Arabidopsis thaliana: one gene and its partner. The protein of the gene in region 1 interacts with the protein of each later gene in a pairwise test. Each region holds a gene or a part of one and is shown on either strand. Other genes may lie near its edges.

Region 1 (3,963 bases):
CACTCATCTGTATCATCATCATCTATTCTCTTCTTGTTTTTATTATGTTTTTAGCGAATTAATTAAAATGAAAATGAAGAGTTAATTCAAACTTTTACCAAAAAAAGAAGAAAATGGAGAGTTATAAATGGGTTATATTATAGGAGATGATGGGTGGGTAAATGCAGATATTATAGGGCAAGAGACCTACCTCCTTTTCTCCCTTTGACTCACTTTTCCCTATTTCTTTTTTCAGTTTCATGACATTTACAATTGACATGTTAATACTATAGCCTATAGTCTATACCCTAACCATCTTTTAGGCCTCGAGGGTTCTTTACGATATTCTTCGTTTTATATAAGGGAATATAATACTTTTGCTTCATCATCCATCCAATCACATAAAAATCAACGATTTACGAATATATATATGAAACATTGCTATATTCCACGTTTTTTTATTTACTATATATTCTACGTCAAAAGAATTATCTTGTTTTTTTTTTGAGATGATTATATCTTCTTTTTTTTGAGAAAATATTTATTGCTTTGTTCCGGATATATTAATCTCTCCCATTAACGAGATGCTCACAATCGTTTTTTGTAATGTTTCATTCTAGTGTGCACCGCATTCTAGTTTGTTTTCTTTGTTCTTTTTTTTTGTATTTATTTATTACTGTGTTATACGAGCGATTTGGACTAAGATCATGGTAAGAATAACTATTGGCAAAAAAAAAAATTACCACGATCGTTCACCAATCACGATTCACAAGGCGATATTGCCACGATTCACATTATTTGAACATACAATTTTTAATCAAACGAATTTATTAAACAGTACAAACCCACGCAATTAATTAACTTTACAACAAACCAACCCACACAATTGCCAAGATTCACATAATCAAATGCATTTATTAAACAGTTTAAAAATAACCCATAGAATTAATAAACGTTATAACAATGTCCTTGGGAGACTTTTATTCTAGTATCACTTTCCTACATCAAGTTCCAAATTCATACGTGGGTTCGAAACACGGGTTCCTTCTCTTCTTAATGGGACCTCTCCCTAATGGAACCGTCGCCGACGTGGACAACAACAACAACACATGAAACAAATAAGCCAACCTATAAATCGAACAAGTTGGATTAAAAGTATCAAAACAGGAAATACAACCCAAAATCCCACATAAATCAATAGTATATAACGAATTATTTGATCGTCGGATTGAACCAGCACGATGGCGAAGAAGAACGCCGCTGATATACAAAGAACCGCCACCACCATAAATGTTCCGAGGATAGCCATTATCATCCGGTTCCTTCATATACACAATTATATCATCATATAAGTGTCTTTTAGTTTATTCTAATACCAAACAATTTCTCTACTTATTCTGAGTGTACCAAAATTCCATTAGATAACTATGATATATGTCATCAACTTTCCATAGTTTTAAAGTCCAATCAAATAGCGATCGAATTAGTATTTTTACCAATCAGACCAGTTTTGTTGAAATAGCTAATGTTAAGTCAACCATTGTGCCGACATAGTTGGTATACTTAAAACCGAAAGTCAACACCAAGATCTCAATTTAGATGACTATTTTTAGTTCTCAGTAATATCTTGTCAAACACAAGCGTTACATAAAAATTCCAGACTTAACATACAAACAAGTTATAATAATTTACATACTAAGTAGCCTTGTTATATGGAGTTGCACATATAGTTTATTTATTGGTACCTTAGTCGTATACCGCTGATGACAAGGAGAATGAGACTCATTGAGGTAGAAAATGACACTGTACTGCTAATAATCATCCCAATATACGCTATACGCTTTGAACTCTCATATTCCAATACCGCAGTTCCCGCTCTCCCCTTACAAAACGGTGCGGTTCCGGTTTGATTTCCGAAAGAACAATTGTCACTTTGCCATACGCCACCGGGAGGATTAACCATAACTTGAAAGCTCATACCGGCTATAACCGTAGCTGTAACCATAAGATTCCCTCTAGTTTTCTCTAACCAATCGCCTTGACGTTTTAGATACTTTACGAACCACTCTGATGATGATTCTTCGTATCGATGACCTTCTTGACCGTTGATCTCCATGATTTGAAGCGATGAATGCTTTACAAAAGAGTTATAATTCTTAAAATTTATATATGTAACTTCTCTCTTTGTCGAGATTATAAAGGAAAAAAAAGAACGAGTCTTTTTAAAAAAGGAAAGGGAGATAGAAATTTCTGGTTTGATCAGCAAAAGTCTAATTTGAAACCATTTGTTTGTTGATCACGTACGGGAATTAAAAACCTACTCTTTGAGAACTATATGATTCTGATCAAGTCAGTCAACGATAGCGACATTAGGGAAGAAGCGTCGTCGTTATTTTTTATATATTTCTAACTAAATAGAGTTTTTGAGGTTTATAGGAGAATCGCAAGACCTCAAATTTGACTCTGGGAGATCATATCTCTCATTTGTGTCACTCTTCTTTCAACGTGTCTTTTCTTTCATAGTACTACATTTGTCATCTTGTCATTGTATCTAATGACTTATACGACTTGTGGTATAAAAAGATAAAGATATATAGCGGATAAAGAACAGTCGTTGCATACCATTCAACAAACCAAAATTAAGTTGAAGTTGAACATTAGTTAATTGCGGAGAAAAAAACTAGAACATTAATTAATTGCGCAACAGTGAACAGTGACATTAGTACATATAAAATCTTCAACATAATGATAAATTAAGCTACTAACAAGTAACAGAGTCATGATCTAGTGGTTGAATATTGGCAATGTTAATTAATCGATTGTATAGATTAATTTTCATCTATCTATCCACAACGCTAGCTCTTTTATGTTCAACTATTACAAAAGTTGTAAGTGGCATAAGAAAACTGTGGTCGTACATCAACATCACACACCACGATTTACTCTTTTCTTAAATTTTTTATTAGATATACATACCTGCAAATGTTACTCATATAATATTACACAAATATTTGATACGTCAGCTTAAATATGTATCTGGGTAAGGTGATCAGGTGATTATCAAAATAAAATAAAATAGTACAGCATTACTTGTTTTGTTGCTAGGTAAGTTTGACGACGAATAAAAATATATGTATCCAAGTTCACCAAATCCTACGCTAGCTAGTTGGACGACAAGACTTTATTTTGGACTCGAAAAAAAGAGAGAGAACGTGTTAAAGAACCCTAATCAAAGAATAACCGATCCGATAGTAGTCCACTGTCAAAAGTGAAAACTAGTTGTGATGATATCAGTCCAATATACACTTAACCTGAAATATCTATATTAAAAACGAACTAAGAATTTGGTGTACTTGGATCAAAATTTTACATTTGTTCCAGCATAGAAACTTGGTCTAGAAATGATGAAAAAATTAGAAGATAATAGAATCCATAGTTAAAAAAAACTTAAAAGAAGGTTATGTGGCCAAAGCTTTAAAGAAGAGTTTAGATACTTTGGAGGTAGATCAATGTAAATTGGGATCTTTGCAAACAGCGTGTGTTTGTTTTCTAAGTTTCAGGCGAACTACGTGTCGTTTTAGCTAAGAGAAAAAGCCAGGGTTTAGATTCCGTAGTCCGTAGACGTCGTTATAACGGTGTAGATCTTTCTAAACAAATTAAAAGTTTGGGGTCAAAAAAAAAAACTGTGAAGATTTCTTTATCGACTCGGACAAACAACAAGGGTCTGTTATGTAATAAATTCCCGAAACATAACCAAATTAGGGTTTAAGCATTTAGTGAGTTTCCAGTAAACCCTTCTCTGAATCGCTGCCGCTTCTTCGATAGACTAAAAGAATCCAAACCTCAGTAGCCATGGAAGGCGAAGAGAAGAATGATTATAGAAACGAGGAAGAAGATTTCAATACACCACAACAACTACAAAAGAAGCAAAGGAAAGGGAAAAAAATAGCAACGGAAACAGAGGATGAAAACGAAGAAGACAAG
Region 2 (4,379 bases), 970 kb from region 1:
GCCGTGAATGGATGGAGCGGAGGTGGCGGCGACGGCGTAGCCTCTATTATAAGCTCGAGGACAAATGAAAGAGGTACGAGGTCGGTCCGAGCCAGTGGACAGAGGCAACGACTCAGATTAGCTCTCCTCGCTTTTCCTTTTTTTTTCTTTCCACAGCTCAGATTGTTATTTTATTTTATTAGAAACGGACAAAATAGATAACAGTAATCATTTTGCAAAAATAAAAAGGAACAAGGTAAATTAATTAGTCATTGTAATAAAGAAACAAAAATCTCCAGATATGCAAGAAAATATATGTTTTATGTTTTATTTCATACAAAATCATCTGAATTATGTCCAGCCATTTAGGAGATTTGATGTTTTTTTCATGGACTATGAAACTAGTCTAGAGTTATAAAACCCTCTTGTCTAAAAAAAAAAAAACGTTATAACTTCTCTAGTTCTATTGAAGCCAGATTGATTGATGAGTTATGTTATTATTGACATATCTATCATTTACTCAATACACTCACACGTAGAAAAAAGTTGACTTCGAAAATATTGGTTAAAAGAAACTACAAAATTTGTTTTACTCACAAAGTTGATAATGTCCAAAACATAATTTTTCACGATTGTTTTATTTGGACAAAATAAAAATCATTGTTCTACCGAAAAATAAATAAATAAATTCATTCTCATTGTCTTAATTTTTTTACGAAATTATGAAGTGGGAAATGGATCAAGTAAGTTTCACAAGTGGGAGTCCAATAGTTAGGATCATGTCGGCCTCGTCCACTTGCGTTCTCCTTGATTTAACGATCACTTGCTTGTCTCAGGTCTCAACTAGTGGTGACGTCAATTCATTTGGTATTCATTGGACTATACACTTTTTTTCATTGTCAAATAATTGGACTATGCTACTTAAATAATATACAGCTACTCAGAGAGACTTTTACTCCAAAACGAAAGAGCCCCTTTTAAACAACACCTTATTATTTGGAGCAAAACAAAAAACAACACCTTATTTAAGTAAGAAATTAGTAATGGTACATCACAATGGCATCATAATGAACAACTGATAAACACTTTTGAATCGTCACCAGCAGCAGCATGTCATAAACGCACCAACCATGATAGCATAGATCGTGAGGTGCGCAATACCATTACTTCTCGAAGACATAGAAAGCATTGGAAACAACTTATGCTACTTTGGATCCATTAATCTCTCCTGATTAACTACTCTTTATCTTAACCTTGTTTTTATTTCTTTTTGCCAAGGTTAATTTAATTTAGGTAATACGTCTCTTGTAATACCAAACATTTCATTTCTAATGATATTTACATTCTTAGCAAAAAAAAGAAAAAAAAAACAAACAATGATAGCATAGATAGTGTATTATGATGGAGATTTACGTACTCTAACTAAAATTATGGAAACGAATCAACTCAACTTATGGTTGCTTAATAGTTTAATAATACTTTTTCGTTGATGCAGTTTCAATCATAGTTGATTGCATTTAAATAACAAAAAATGAAAAGAAAAAAATATTTAGCATTTCACATATTTTGATGATTGGTATGAACTTTGGTTAAAAATTTCAGTTATAAAATCATTTTTATTACGTATGATTTAGGAATGAGTTTTATGTGGTCCTTGCAACCCAAATTTTGATCGTAATTTTTTTTTCATGTCATTTAGTTTGTGATATTTTAAAATCGACTACTAGCTGTATTATCAAAACCACAATCCTGGAAACCAATTATAACCAAAATAAACCAACCAAACCAAAAAGATGAAATCGATGAACGGTGAGAAAACCAATTTTGACCGGTCACTAATTTTCATTTTGCTCTCAAATCGCGACTCCTCTCTGGGCTCTCTCCTTCTGTATCTCTCTAAGGGGAACAACGAAATCATCACCTTCTCTTTTATCGTCACCGGCGATCATTCAAGACTCGATCTCCGGTAATCAGAACATTTTCATTCGCCGACATGGCGATGACCATCGAAGGTAATCAATCACCTATCTTCCAACTGTATCATTTCCCGACGGAATCGAATCAGATTCAAGTCGATTTTCCCCTTTTACTTTTCTCCCTTGCTCTATGTTCATATATTCCATACGTATTAGAGATTGGTATTGATTTACTCAGATTATAGTTATTTTGTGCTTCGTGAATTGTTTAATTTTGTGAGCTAGGGTTTCTGGGTTTTGCATTGTTCAAACTCACTCATTGTTTGCTCTTTTCTAAATTTTTTCCGATGCTGATTTCTTCTGGAATGCTCAAATTGCTTTCTTGGTACAGTGTAAGTTCTAAGACTTGATGCTCTTTAATTACCCTTGTTGTTACATCTGCCAGTGTATTCTCGTGTGTCGTGATCTTACAGATTTTATTTTTCTTGATTGCACAGACTTGCTGGACTTGCTTTCATGTTTTCATCTAGTATCCTCCTACAGATCCTGGTACGTTTCTGAATATAGCTATCTGCTTATAACCCTTGAAGCTTGATCATAAGATCATGACTTAGTAGCTTTAAATCCTGCAAGAGATGGTTAGCTAGTTCTGCTGTTAGGTTGTGAGCTGAGTATACTGGTCTCCTTTTGTACCCTTGTTGATGTAGCAAACAGAGTTGTGAGTCTTTTGGCCCGTTTTACTGGGAGAGATACTCTGTGAAGTAAAGTTTGTTACATTCAAACCTTCTTTCATATTTGAAGTTTTGAGCTTTACTCTCTTGTAGTATGTTGACTAGCGATCTCTGGATCCCAAAAACCAAAATTACACTTAGAATTCTTATCCTTACAACACTATTTGACCGGAGCATATGGTAAGCTGGGGTCCTTAGCCGACCTCAATGTCTAACTTGTTAATTGACTTAGACTTTCTGAACAACTTCTATAAACTCAAGCATCTTCTCTCCTCAGCTTATATCAGGTCCTTGTATAGGTATAGTTTTTTTTTTTTTTTGCACTTCGATTAGAAGAAGAAAGGATCATCTGATTTACAAATCTGATACGTTTCCCATATTTTGTGATTTCCTTTGGTATACCTGGTTATACCATGCAATGAGTAACACGTGTTATAGTCATCTGGGAGATATAGTGATAACTATTTGTTCATAATGGTCAGGCATGCGCGATATATGGTAACTGGTGGCCAATGCTATCAGCACTCATGTATGTAGTGGTGCCTATGCCTTGTATGTTCTTTGGAGGAGGCTCAACCCAATTCCTTATTAGTCGGGACGGTGGAGGGTTAGTTACTAGAGACTTTATTGCTTCTTTGAGTTAAACGAAAGATCGATTACCAAATTGGCTCGTCCATAAAACGCAGGTGGATAGACGCAGCGAAGTTCTTGACCGGAGCATCGACCGTGGGAAGCCTTGCTATCCCAATCATCTTAAGGCACGCACAGATGATCGAGACAGGTGCAATGCTCATAGAGTTCACATCATTCTTCATATTCATTTGCACTGTCATGTGTTTTCACCGGGCTAGTCTCGATGATGACTGGTAACGTAGATGTTGCTGCTCGTGAATTACTAATTGGATTCGTATGAGAAAGAGAGTGTGAAGAAAAGATGAGGTTACTATGAGTGGTTAAGAAAGTTGTGTTCTTCTCCCTCTTTTTGTAAAGCTTTGTATCACTCAATGTTTGTAAAAAGTTTTATTCATCACTGTGAATCTTTTCCTGAAACTAAGTGCCAAAATATTTTGTTTCGCATGTTTAGGAAAAAGTTTAATTCATCATTGTGAATGTTCCCTAATCCCTAGATTAGCTTCGAGAGATTAACAAAGAACGGTTCAACTGTAACACGTGGTCATGAAATAATGTCCGAAGGCCCTTCAGATAATAAAAGCCCATGAACTTCATAAGGGTAGAAGCGTAATTTTAAAAGAGACCCCTTTCATATATATATCCTTGCGATTATTATTAGCCGTCATCGTCTAGGGTTGGTTGTTCTGCAATTTAGTTTTTTTTTTTTGTGTTTTTTATAATCTGCAGCATCGTTTCTTGTAATCTGAGGAATTGTTTTTCAGACTGCACGATCGTTTAATTTTGTTACGTTGGTTGTTTCTTTGAAGTGAAAAACGGCGAGGGATGATGATTCAATTAGATGTGCGAATGGTTTCATCATGAGCTCAAAAACTTTATTTGGCATTTTATAATCTGACTTCGCCGTCAACTCTTTTTTCTGTAATTTGGAGGAATGGTAAATGGATGATGATTCAATTAGATGTGCGAATGGTTTCATCATGACCTCAAAAACTCTATTTGGCAATTTATCTGACATCTCCCATTTCTCTATGTTCAATCCAATATATCTCCTTTATGTGGTTTTAACTCGATATTGTTTTATTGTCTGCGAAATGTTTGATAATGATGAGTTAACTTTTAT

The links.
Region 2: the proteins of AT3G13950 (region 1) and AT3G11530 interact in a protein complementation assay, tested with the Arabidopsis thaliana proteins (one large-scale study listed by BioGRID).

Annotation. Positions count from the first base shown.
Region 1 is NC_003074.8:4,602,281-4,606,243, reverse strand, and holds AT3G13950 (ankyrin), read right to left. Parts: upstream 2,360-3,963; 5' UTR 2,096-2,359; coding exon 1,725-2,095; intron 1,302-1,724; coding exon 1,049-1,301; 3' UTR 731-1,048; downstream 1-730. Other genes in the region: AT3G13940 (DNA binding / DNA-directed RNA polymerase), read left to right, coding at 3,832-3,963.
Region 2 is NC_003074.8:3,627,918-3,632,296, reverse strand, and holds AT3G11530 (Vacuolar protein sorting 55 (VPS55) family protein), read left to right. Parts: upstream 1-1,760; 5' UTR 1,761-2,287; intron 2,288-2,392; 5' UTR 2,393-2,411; coding exon 2,412-2,444; exon of another isoform or gene 2,445-3,108; coding exon 3,109-3,233; intron 3,234-3,312; coding exon 3,313-3,496; 3' UTR 3,497-3,767; downstream 3,768-4,379.